2 linked regions of the Canis lupus familiaris genome follow. The protein of the gene in region 1 purifies or fractionates together with the protein of each later gene. This does not show direct contact. Links are inferred from orthologs where the notes say so. Each region holds a gene or a part of one and is shown in the gene's direction. Other genes may lie near its edges.

What was found. The genes of interacting proteins can lie anywhere in the genome.
Region 2: the proteins of STX8 (region 1) and VAMP8 purify together in Homo sapiens (co-immunoprecipitation; 5 studies listed by BioGRID and IntAct, with this or other methods). This does not show direct contact. The link is inferred for Canis lupus familiaris from reciprocal best matches to the Homo sapiens genes STX8 and VAMP8.

What each region holds. Positions count from the first base shown.
Region 1 is NC_049226.1:34,297,442-34,301,712, reverse strand, and holds the start of STX8 (syntaxin-8), read left to right. Parts: upstream 1-1,471; 5' UTR 1,472-1,593; coding exon 1,594-1,610; exon of another isoform or gene 1,611-1,621; intron 1,622-4,271. Other genes in the region: CFAP52 (cilia- and flagella-associated protein 52), read right to left, coding at 704-773. UniProt on the Homo sapiens protein: Vesicle trafficking protein that functions in the early secretory pathway, possibly by mediating retrograde transport from cis-Golgi membranes to the ER.
Region 2 is NC_049238.1:39,846,747-39,850,914, reverse strand, and holds the start of VAMP8 (vesicle-associated membrane protein 8), read left to right. Parts: upstream 1-1,368; 5' UTR 1,369-1,499; intron 1,500-2,007; 5' UTR 2,008-2,250; coding exon 2,251-2,253; intron 2,254-3,574; coding exon 3,575-3,733; intron 3,734-4,168. UniProt on the Homo sapiens protein: SNAREs, soluble N-ethylmaleimide-sensitive factor-attachment protein receptors, are essential proteins for fusion of cellular membranes.

The sequences.
Region 1 (4,271 bases):
CCATCCTTCACACACAAAATCAAAGAGCACTTTCCGAACCCTTAATGTTCAAACTAACAGGAGCTCATAAATAAGATGTGAGCAGAACCAGCAGTCCTCCCCGCTTCCCACCCACCCCCCACCCCCCGCCTTGACCTGAGCATCTCTCCCCTCCAGCTCCCCCTGGCGTCCTCTCGATCTTTTATCGGGGTCTGAAACCTTCCAATAGGAGTTCTGGGGTCTGGGGACTAGACCATCCCCTAAGGCGGGTGCTCACACCCACGTCCAGCCCCCAGCCCTTTCTCATGGCACATCAGCTGGGATTCTACGAGTTTCTGGGTCCAGGGGTCGATTTGGACTTGGCAGTCTCGCAGTTCACGGCGGGGGGGGTGTCTTTGGGGGCTGCGTGGGGGATTAAGGCCGAGGCAGAGCCAACCTAGAATGAAAAGGATGACGGGCACCCTAGTCATCCCTTCGGCGGGGGGGGGGGGGGGGGTAGGGGGGGGAGACCCTTGTCCCTTCTAGGTGCTGTGAAGCCATCCCAGTCCTTGAGGCTTAGAACGAGGAGGTGACTCCTCGACTCCCCGGGACCTTAGGGCAGGAGAGAGCGTGGCTCTGGCTCAGTGTCCCGCGCTACCTTCCAGGTGGCCCCCGGTGTCCCTGTTTGCACTATTCGTCCCCGGGGCTTGCAAACCGCCCAGCCCGGACACGCTCGAGGCCTCACCGTTGAAGCCGATCACGGCCTCGAGCTCCAGCTCCGCCACCTCGGCTTTGGGCGAACTTTGCTTCTCCATCCCCTGGAGCCTGGGCTCTCCACTCCCTCCTCTCGCCAGCGGCGGCGCAGCGTCTCCTGGTCGTTATGGTAACGGACGTGCGCGTGCGCACCAGGTCCGCGGCCGCACGCACTGGCGGCGGCGGCGCAGGGAGCTCCCGGTGCAAGAGCAGCCGCGCTCCTTGCCCTCACTATTTCCCTGGAGGTGTAGGGGCATTGAGTGTGCTCGTTCCCTCCACGGAAAAACGTCTGTGACTTCTTCCCCGACCTATATAACCAAGCACCGTGTCATTTAAGGAAGGCCGCTATAAAGTAATATATAATTGCCACTTCTTTGGGTCTCTTACTTGAAGCAAGATTGCAAGGAATCTTTAAGCTTTGTGGCGGTACACCTCTACATAGAAAAGTAACTCTGAGTGCGTTCTGGCAGATTTCTACAGTTGTGCAGCTATGCCCACCGTCTTGTTTTTGCTTTGAGCAGGATGACATTTCAGATGCTCGCCGGAAAATGCTGAAGATTTCTGTCCAACGCTTTTATTTAAATCGCGCCGGGTCGCTCGCGTCTCGCAGCGGGGGAACATACGGGATTAGACTGCTCCATCCTGGTGTTCCCCGGGGGGACGTGGGGGCCGCCCCCCTTTCTGGACCGTCCCTGCGAGGCCCTGGTGCACCCTCCCCGCCCTCCCCCCCCTCCCCCCCGCCAGGCCAGCTCCGGGTTGCGGTCGCGCCCGGGCGGAGCAGCGGGGTGTGAGCCGCGCCGGCCGCCGTAGTCCGCCGCCGCGAGCAGGAAGTGTCCGAGGGCGGCGGCGGCGGCGGCGGCGGCGGCGGGCGGAGACTGCACGATGGCCCCGGACCCCTGGTGAGCCCCGGGTGAGGGCGGCCGCGCCGAGGGTTCCGGGGATGCGGTGGGGGCTTCAGGACGAGGGAGCGGCAGCGAGGCCCCTTCCCGAGCCCGGGGCGGGGGGGTCGGGGGGAGGACCCTGCCGCGCGCCCCGCAGCCTCGGCGCCCGCAGGGGCGGCCCCGCAGGCGGGCCGGGTGGTCTCCGGGCAGCGGGGGGCGGGGGGGGGCAGTGCGCAGGCCCGGAAGGTGCCCGGAGCCCTGCATTGGCTCGCATCGGACCGCGGGCATTTCGCGCCCGGCCCGGATCCGCGCTGGCGGCTGCGGGCTTCCCCGGACTCCCCCGGACTCCCCGGGACTCCCCGGGCAAGTCCAGGCGGAGTGACCTTTCTCTGCGATGCGGCTGCAGCTGGTGACCTCGCCGCCGCCTCTCGCTTCACCCGCGGAGAACCCGGGTTCACAGCCCACCGCCACCTGCGCCGGTTAGTAACCAGTCGGCACTGGGACCTAGATCTCTTGGGCCCTTCCGAAAACTTGGAGGAATCGCGGAGGGGAATTGCGCGTGTTTGTATGGCTTGTGATGGGCCCTTACCTGAGTCCGTATCCGGAAGGGCTGTTTGTACTGCAGCAACTTTGCAGTAGAACCAGAGCTCATGAGGGTCGTTCCTCCAACACCCTGAGTCCCAAGGACTGGATGGTGACAGACACGAGCTCTCGTCCCAAGGAACAGATTGCTACAGAATTACGGACTGAAGCTGTTTTTGTTTTTAAGATTTTATTTATTTATTCATGAGAGAGGCAGAGACACGGGCAGAGAGAGGGAGAGCCTGATGCGGGACTCGTTTCCAGGACCCCGGGATCACGGCCTGAGTCCAAGGCAGACGCTTAACCACTGAGCCACCCAGGAGCCCGGAGGATTTTTGCTTTTATGAAAAAAAATGGGGAAAGCAAAAATAGCATTCGGTGTTTGTTTTGCAGCAAGCTGTCATGGAGACCTTGCACCTCCCAACCCTCCCCTCAAGCTCCTTCCCTGAGAACTACATTCAGCATCTCAGCGTCAAGCTGTCATAGCTTTGAATTGTGTCAGTGAGCATCCAGGCTTTCACTTAGTTTATTTTGTGTCTCCATTAGCAAGGCGTGCCCTAAGACATCAGAAAAGCCCTAAGGGAGGTTATTTTGGGGGGTTTAGGAAAGCTCAAAAGATATTCCGTATAAAATAATGGTAATTGTTGGTCCCTTTGCTTTACATTGTTTCGGCTTATGAAAGGTTTTGTAGAAAGACTACTTTTGGATAGTGAGGGAAACCTGCATGTTTTACAAAGCAGGGAACATTTCAACCATGTCATTAAGTATTTACTGAAAACATGATTTCTTTTTATGGCGCACAATAGCGCATTCTACGAATAACCATAATTTATTTCCCTCTCTGTAATGTTAGAGTATGTTTTGTTTAACTGTTGCAAAGACTGCCCCCGTTGTTCCATTTCTTATTTCCTCCTCTTGCTCACTGCAGACGGGACTATTGAATTGAACGGTATGAACATTTTTAAGGCCCTTGATACCTATTGCTAAGTTGTCTTCCACCTCCTGGAAGCTAACCCCCTCACTTTACACTTAAGGTAGGAAATAAAGCTCAGAGATGGTTATCCATTTAGACTGGTGGAAGCGATCATTGGACCCCCAAGCCCCTTCCCCAGTTTATGGAGAAAACACATAATGTGCCCTTTTACTCTCATGTAGTTTGACCTGGTGGCTTTCTCATTTGACTGTTGACCGTGAGAAGTGCGGGAACTCTGCTGTGTTAGTATCCACTACCTTGCACAGTGGGTTGCTAATCAGGAAGGTAGAAGGGACTATGGAACAGGGCTATGAAAAAAACTATAAACACAGACTTGACTACGTACAGCTTTGCCTTTGGCCATTGAAAAATTGTAGGTCAGTGATGCTCTACTCCTGAGTGGCGTTCTAATGTTCACTAATGGGATACAGCAGTGACTGCTTTAATGGCATCAGAGCAAGTGATAAGCGCTGTCTCTGAACTAGTTATTTGCTAAAGTTTTTTTTTAAGTTTTTAAAAATTTATTCATGAGAGACACAGAGAGAGAGGCAGAGACACAGGCAGAGGGAGAAGCAGGCTTCCTGAAGGGAGCTGGATGCGGGACTCAATCCTGGGACCCCGGGATCACACCCTGAGCCGAAGGCAGATGCTAAACCACTGAGCCATCCCCAGGTGCCCCTGAGATTTTTTTTTAAGTAAATCTCATACATAGATGAATTTGTGCATTCGGTGTTTTTATGGTAGAACAGGGGCTCAGTTCACAGTCTGGGAACTTCCTCCATGTCCCCCTTGGTGGGTCCTCAGTCTCTGCTATGGTGTCACCATCATCTAGGTCACTTAGGCCTGAGAACTCCAATCATCAGCTTTTTCTTCACTTCTCTTTTTGGGTTGTTAAACCTTTGGGTTTTCCCCAAATGCCTCTGGCATCTCTTTGATACCACCTTTTTCTGCTCTGGGCCCATCCTTTCAGCTCTGTGCCTTGCAGACAGTAGATACTGGTGACCAGTTATGGAATCACAGAGCTGGAGAAGTCTCCTGGTCTTCTGCTACTCCTCTCTCATTCCCAGCCTTTTGTGTAAACAAGTTCAGGTGGATTTTCCTAAACTAATACTTTAGGCACTTGT
Region 2 (4,168 bases), on another chromosome or scaffold:
GAGCCACCCAGGCATTCCTGTAACCCTAATTTCTATTCTGGAAATCCTCCTCCATGTCTTTATGCTCTCCTCAGACATCCTACTTTGTTTCTTGGCACCTATCCTATGTCCCTACCCACCACTGCACTTAGCATCTGGAATCATTAATAATAGTAATCATAATAGCCACCATTTACTGAGGGTTGTTTCAGTGCCAGGCATAGATGGTGAGGTAACTGAGGTTTATAGATGTCACATCAGTCTGTCCAAGGTCACATGAATATTAATGCATAGATCAGTGTGTCTTATAATGGAAATATAATTTGAGCCACATTTGTAATTTTTAATTTTCTACTCATCAAATTAAAAGAAACAGGTGAAATGAGCATTAACAATTTTTAAAATTTAACTCAATAAATCCACAACATCATTTCAACATGTTATCAGTATCAGTTAAGTGTCTGCCTTCAGCTCAGGGCATGATCCTGGGGTCCTGGGATTGAGCCTGGATTGTGCTCCCGGCTTCTCCCTTTCCCTCTGCCCTTTCCCCTGCCTCATGCTCTTTCTCTCAAGTAAGTAAATTAAAAAAAAAAAAGTCTTTGAAATACTTGGGGTGCCTGGATGGCTCAGTGGGTTGAGCATCCCACTCTTGATTTCAGCTCAGATCACTGATCTCAGGGTTTTGAGACTGAGCCCAGTGCAGGGTTCCATACTCAGAGAGCAGTCTACTTGAGATTCTCTCTCCTTCTGCCTCTGCCCTTCCCCTCCTGATGTATGTGTGCCTGTGCTCTCTCTCTCAAATGAATAAATAGATAAATCTTTTAAAAAAAGAAATACTGTGTGTACTCTTACATCACTTCTCAATTCAGACTAGCCACAGTTTAAGTGCTCAGCAGCCATATATGGTCAGTGGCTATGGTAATGGACAGCATAAGTACAGATCAAGGATTCTGACCCATCTCCACTTGACCTCTTTATAGATTTTCTTTTTTTTTTTTTTTCTTCTTTATAGATTTTCTAAGGATGATGAGAAGTGAGACAGCCACATTCTCTGTGAAAGTAGGCTGGTACTGTCCATCAAATTTCAGATTTGCAAAATATAATAATCTTATTTAATTGGAGATAAGATTTCATTATAAAGTAGAATAAAGTATCTCAAAACAGAGGTCCAGAAATTGTCATTTCCTTTAACAAAATATGTGTTAGAGAAACTGACATTTCTCTCTTAGAACTAATAATACTAAAAAAAAAAAAAAAAAAAAAAGAACTAATAATACTTCTGGGATGGGACAGGAATGTTTGTTCTCTTTTGCCTGTCCCTGTTTTTGTTCTGTCTTGATAAATACCATCTGGGAAGACTAGATATTCTGTGGCCTGGAACCAGGTGGTGGAAAAATCCTTTGCCTGGGGCCCTTCTCTTGTCCATAGGGCAGGCCTCTGACCATTTCTGAGTAGGCTCACCAACCCCTCAAAGCGGCTTCTGAAGGAAATGTTGAACTCTGGAAGGGAAGAAGGGATTGGTAAGCCATCATTCCCTCGTCCCAACAGTGGACAGGTCTTCCTTTCAGAAACTGTGGCAGGCACACTGAGTGTGCTATCCTGTTATACGTCCCCACCATCCTCTGAGGTCAGCATTAGCACCTGCCAAAACCAGAGAGGTGAAGAATTTCACTCAGGGTCACACTAGTAATCCGGAGCTTTCTGACACCACAGCCTAGGATTACAGCACTCCAGACTTGGGGGGATTTTAATACTTTCTGTCCACCCCTGAACATGGGAACAGGGGTTGCTAGCAAGAAACTTTCATATCTGTGTTCTGTTTCCATGTGAACTACCCCTGGTGGTGTACTTAGAGTTGACTTCAGTGTTTAAGATTTGGAGTCAGATATTCAGGACATTAAAAAAAAGGGGGGGGGGCGGAGCCAGCTTCCCTATCTATATCAGGAGGTCCAGCCTCAGGAAACCTAGGAGGGCTGCTTGATCTTCTTTTTCTTTTTCTTTTTTTTTTTTCTGGTTCTGATGCGTTAGAAGATCTCTGGTGATCGAGCCCTGTTGCTTTAAGCCCGAGCCCAGGTTTGGGAGGAGACTGGGAGGGCAGCGGAGGGCGCCCGCCTACCTGCCGGCCCGCGCTAGGTGAGGCTGGAGCCGCTCGGGATGCCGGCGGGCGGGGGCAGGCTCGAAGTTGGAGCGAGCAGGAAGTGAAGCGAGGGCCGCCCGGGAGGAAACAGACGAGGGAGTCTCGCCGCCGCCAGGCCCGAGCCGCTTGGAGACATGGTGAGCGCGCTGGGAGCTCGCGAGGGGCTGAGCGAAAGGCGAGCGGGGGCTGGGGGCGGGGGGCTGGGGGCGGGGGTCGCAGGGCCGCTGGCCAAGTCGGAGGGCTGGCCCGGTGCAGCCGGTGGCCGCTCTCCTTTGACAACTTGGCTGCCCGGGCGGCTGCCCCCGCGCCTTCTCCCTCCCCTGCCCTCGGAGCTGGCCCGGAGCGGGGCTCCGGTGGGGGTGGAGGCTCCGAATTCCAGGCCGGGAGCCGCTGAGAGGCCCTTCCTGGCCTCCTCCGGCCCGCCGGGCGCCGAGCCCGGTGACCCCCCTTGGGCAGCGCCTCCGAAGTTCCCAGGGCGGATTCCAGCCCAGCGGCGGGAGCCCTCCCCGTCGGCCCTTCCCTTTATCCTGTCGAGAAACTCCAAGAATCCGTCTCTCTCTGCCCGGCCTAAGGAATCGGGCCCCTCTCTTTAAACACGGAGAAGAAGGCGAAGGGTTTGTAAAAGAACCAGAAGTTGGTTCTCTGTGACAATCCGTCTAGTTTGGACCGGCTCCTGGCCTGTTTCGGAGGTCTAGGGGGTCAGGGAGGGAGGAGCCTAGTAATGGTTTGCCCTCCCTGTTCAAAAACTTTATCAGCCAGGGAGGACTTGCCCTCCATTTCCCTCAACAGCCAGTCTGCTGTTTTTATTTAATATCTGCTTAAGGAGGCAGTGGCAGCTTGGTTGGTGCCGGCACATGGGGCAGTGTGTTGGGGGAAAGCAGAAGTTTATGGCGCAATGGCTCTCCCTCTTGGGGCCTGGCCAGGGCCTTGGAACCCGGTGGCTGTTGCTCTGGGTCACAGCAATTAGGCAGCTCCGGAGGTCTGGGGAAGTCTGGGGCGGGAGCAGCTCTCCAGCTGCTGTCCAGCAGTGAGGGGGGTGTTGTGGCAGCTGAGGGTGTTCTGCTGGCCAGCACAGATATTTTCAATGAGGATCCTTCGGTTAATAGTGGTGGGTTTCCCCCTTGTGAGATGCCAGCTCAGCAGTTCTCTGCCCCCATCTGAGGAGCAAGGCAACAGTGGAGTGGGATTTAGGGTCTGTGTTTCTTTTCCTCCTCAGGGGCCCTGAGAACCTGAAAAGAAACTGGATCTAGTCTGTCTAGCATCAGCACTCACCTTCTGGGGCTTAAAAGTGCATTTGTTTTTGATCACATGAGTAATACATGAAAACATTCTTTGTAAACAGTTCAAGCATTAAAAAAAAGCTAAAGTCCACCTTAGGCCTTCCCCTCCCCTGGCCTCTGAGGCTGAGTCTCAGTTCCTCCACCACTTCGCCTAATTAACCCCTGCGTTGCTGCCCAGGAGGAGGCCAGTGGAGGTGTTGGAAATGATCGTGTGCGGAACCTGCAGAGTGAGGTGGAGGGAGTCAAGAATATTATGACCCAGAATGTGGAGCGGATCTTGGCCCGAGGAGAAAACCTGGACCATCTCCGCAACAAGACAGAGGATCTGGAAGCCACAGTGAGATGGGGAACCCACAGAGGTTGGGAGCAGGGCGGCTGGGAGCTGGGCAGTAGAGGAAGAGAGGGAGGGTGAATTGCTGGGGCTCGGGGAATTGGTGGTGCTGGGGGCAAAATGAATAGGAGGGAAGTCTGCCTTTTCACTTGTTTTGGGAATTGACAAGTGAGCCCCCTGTTTTGATTCTGCTCTACTCCACTATTTGGTACTGGGGTCCAGGAAATGGCTCCAGTGACTGGGTGGGTGGGTGGGTGGGTGGGGCTGATTCTTGGAGGCCTTGTCTGAGACAGAAAGGTAGATGGCCCAGTCAGCCCTCACATTCTTAGGCTTCCCTCCCATGAAACTGATGTTTCCCTTTGAAGATTGCCCTTGACAATCATTTGGACCTGACCTCCCTAAGCCAAAAATATTGGCTCCGGAAAATACTCCTAGGGCCTT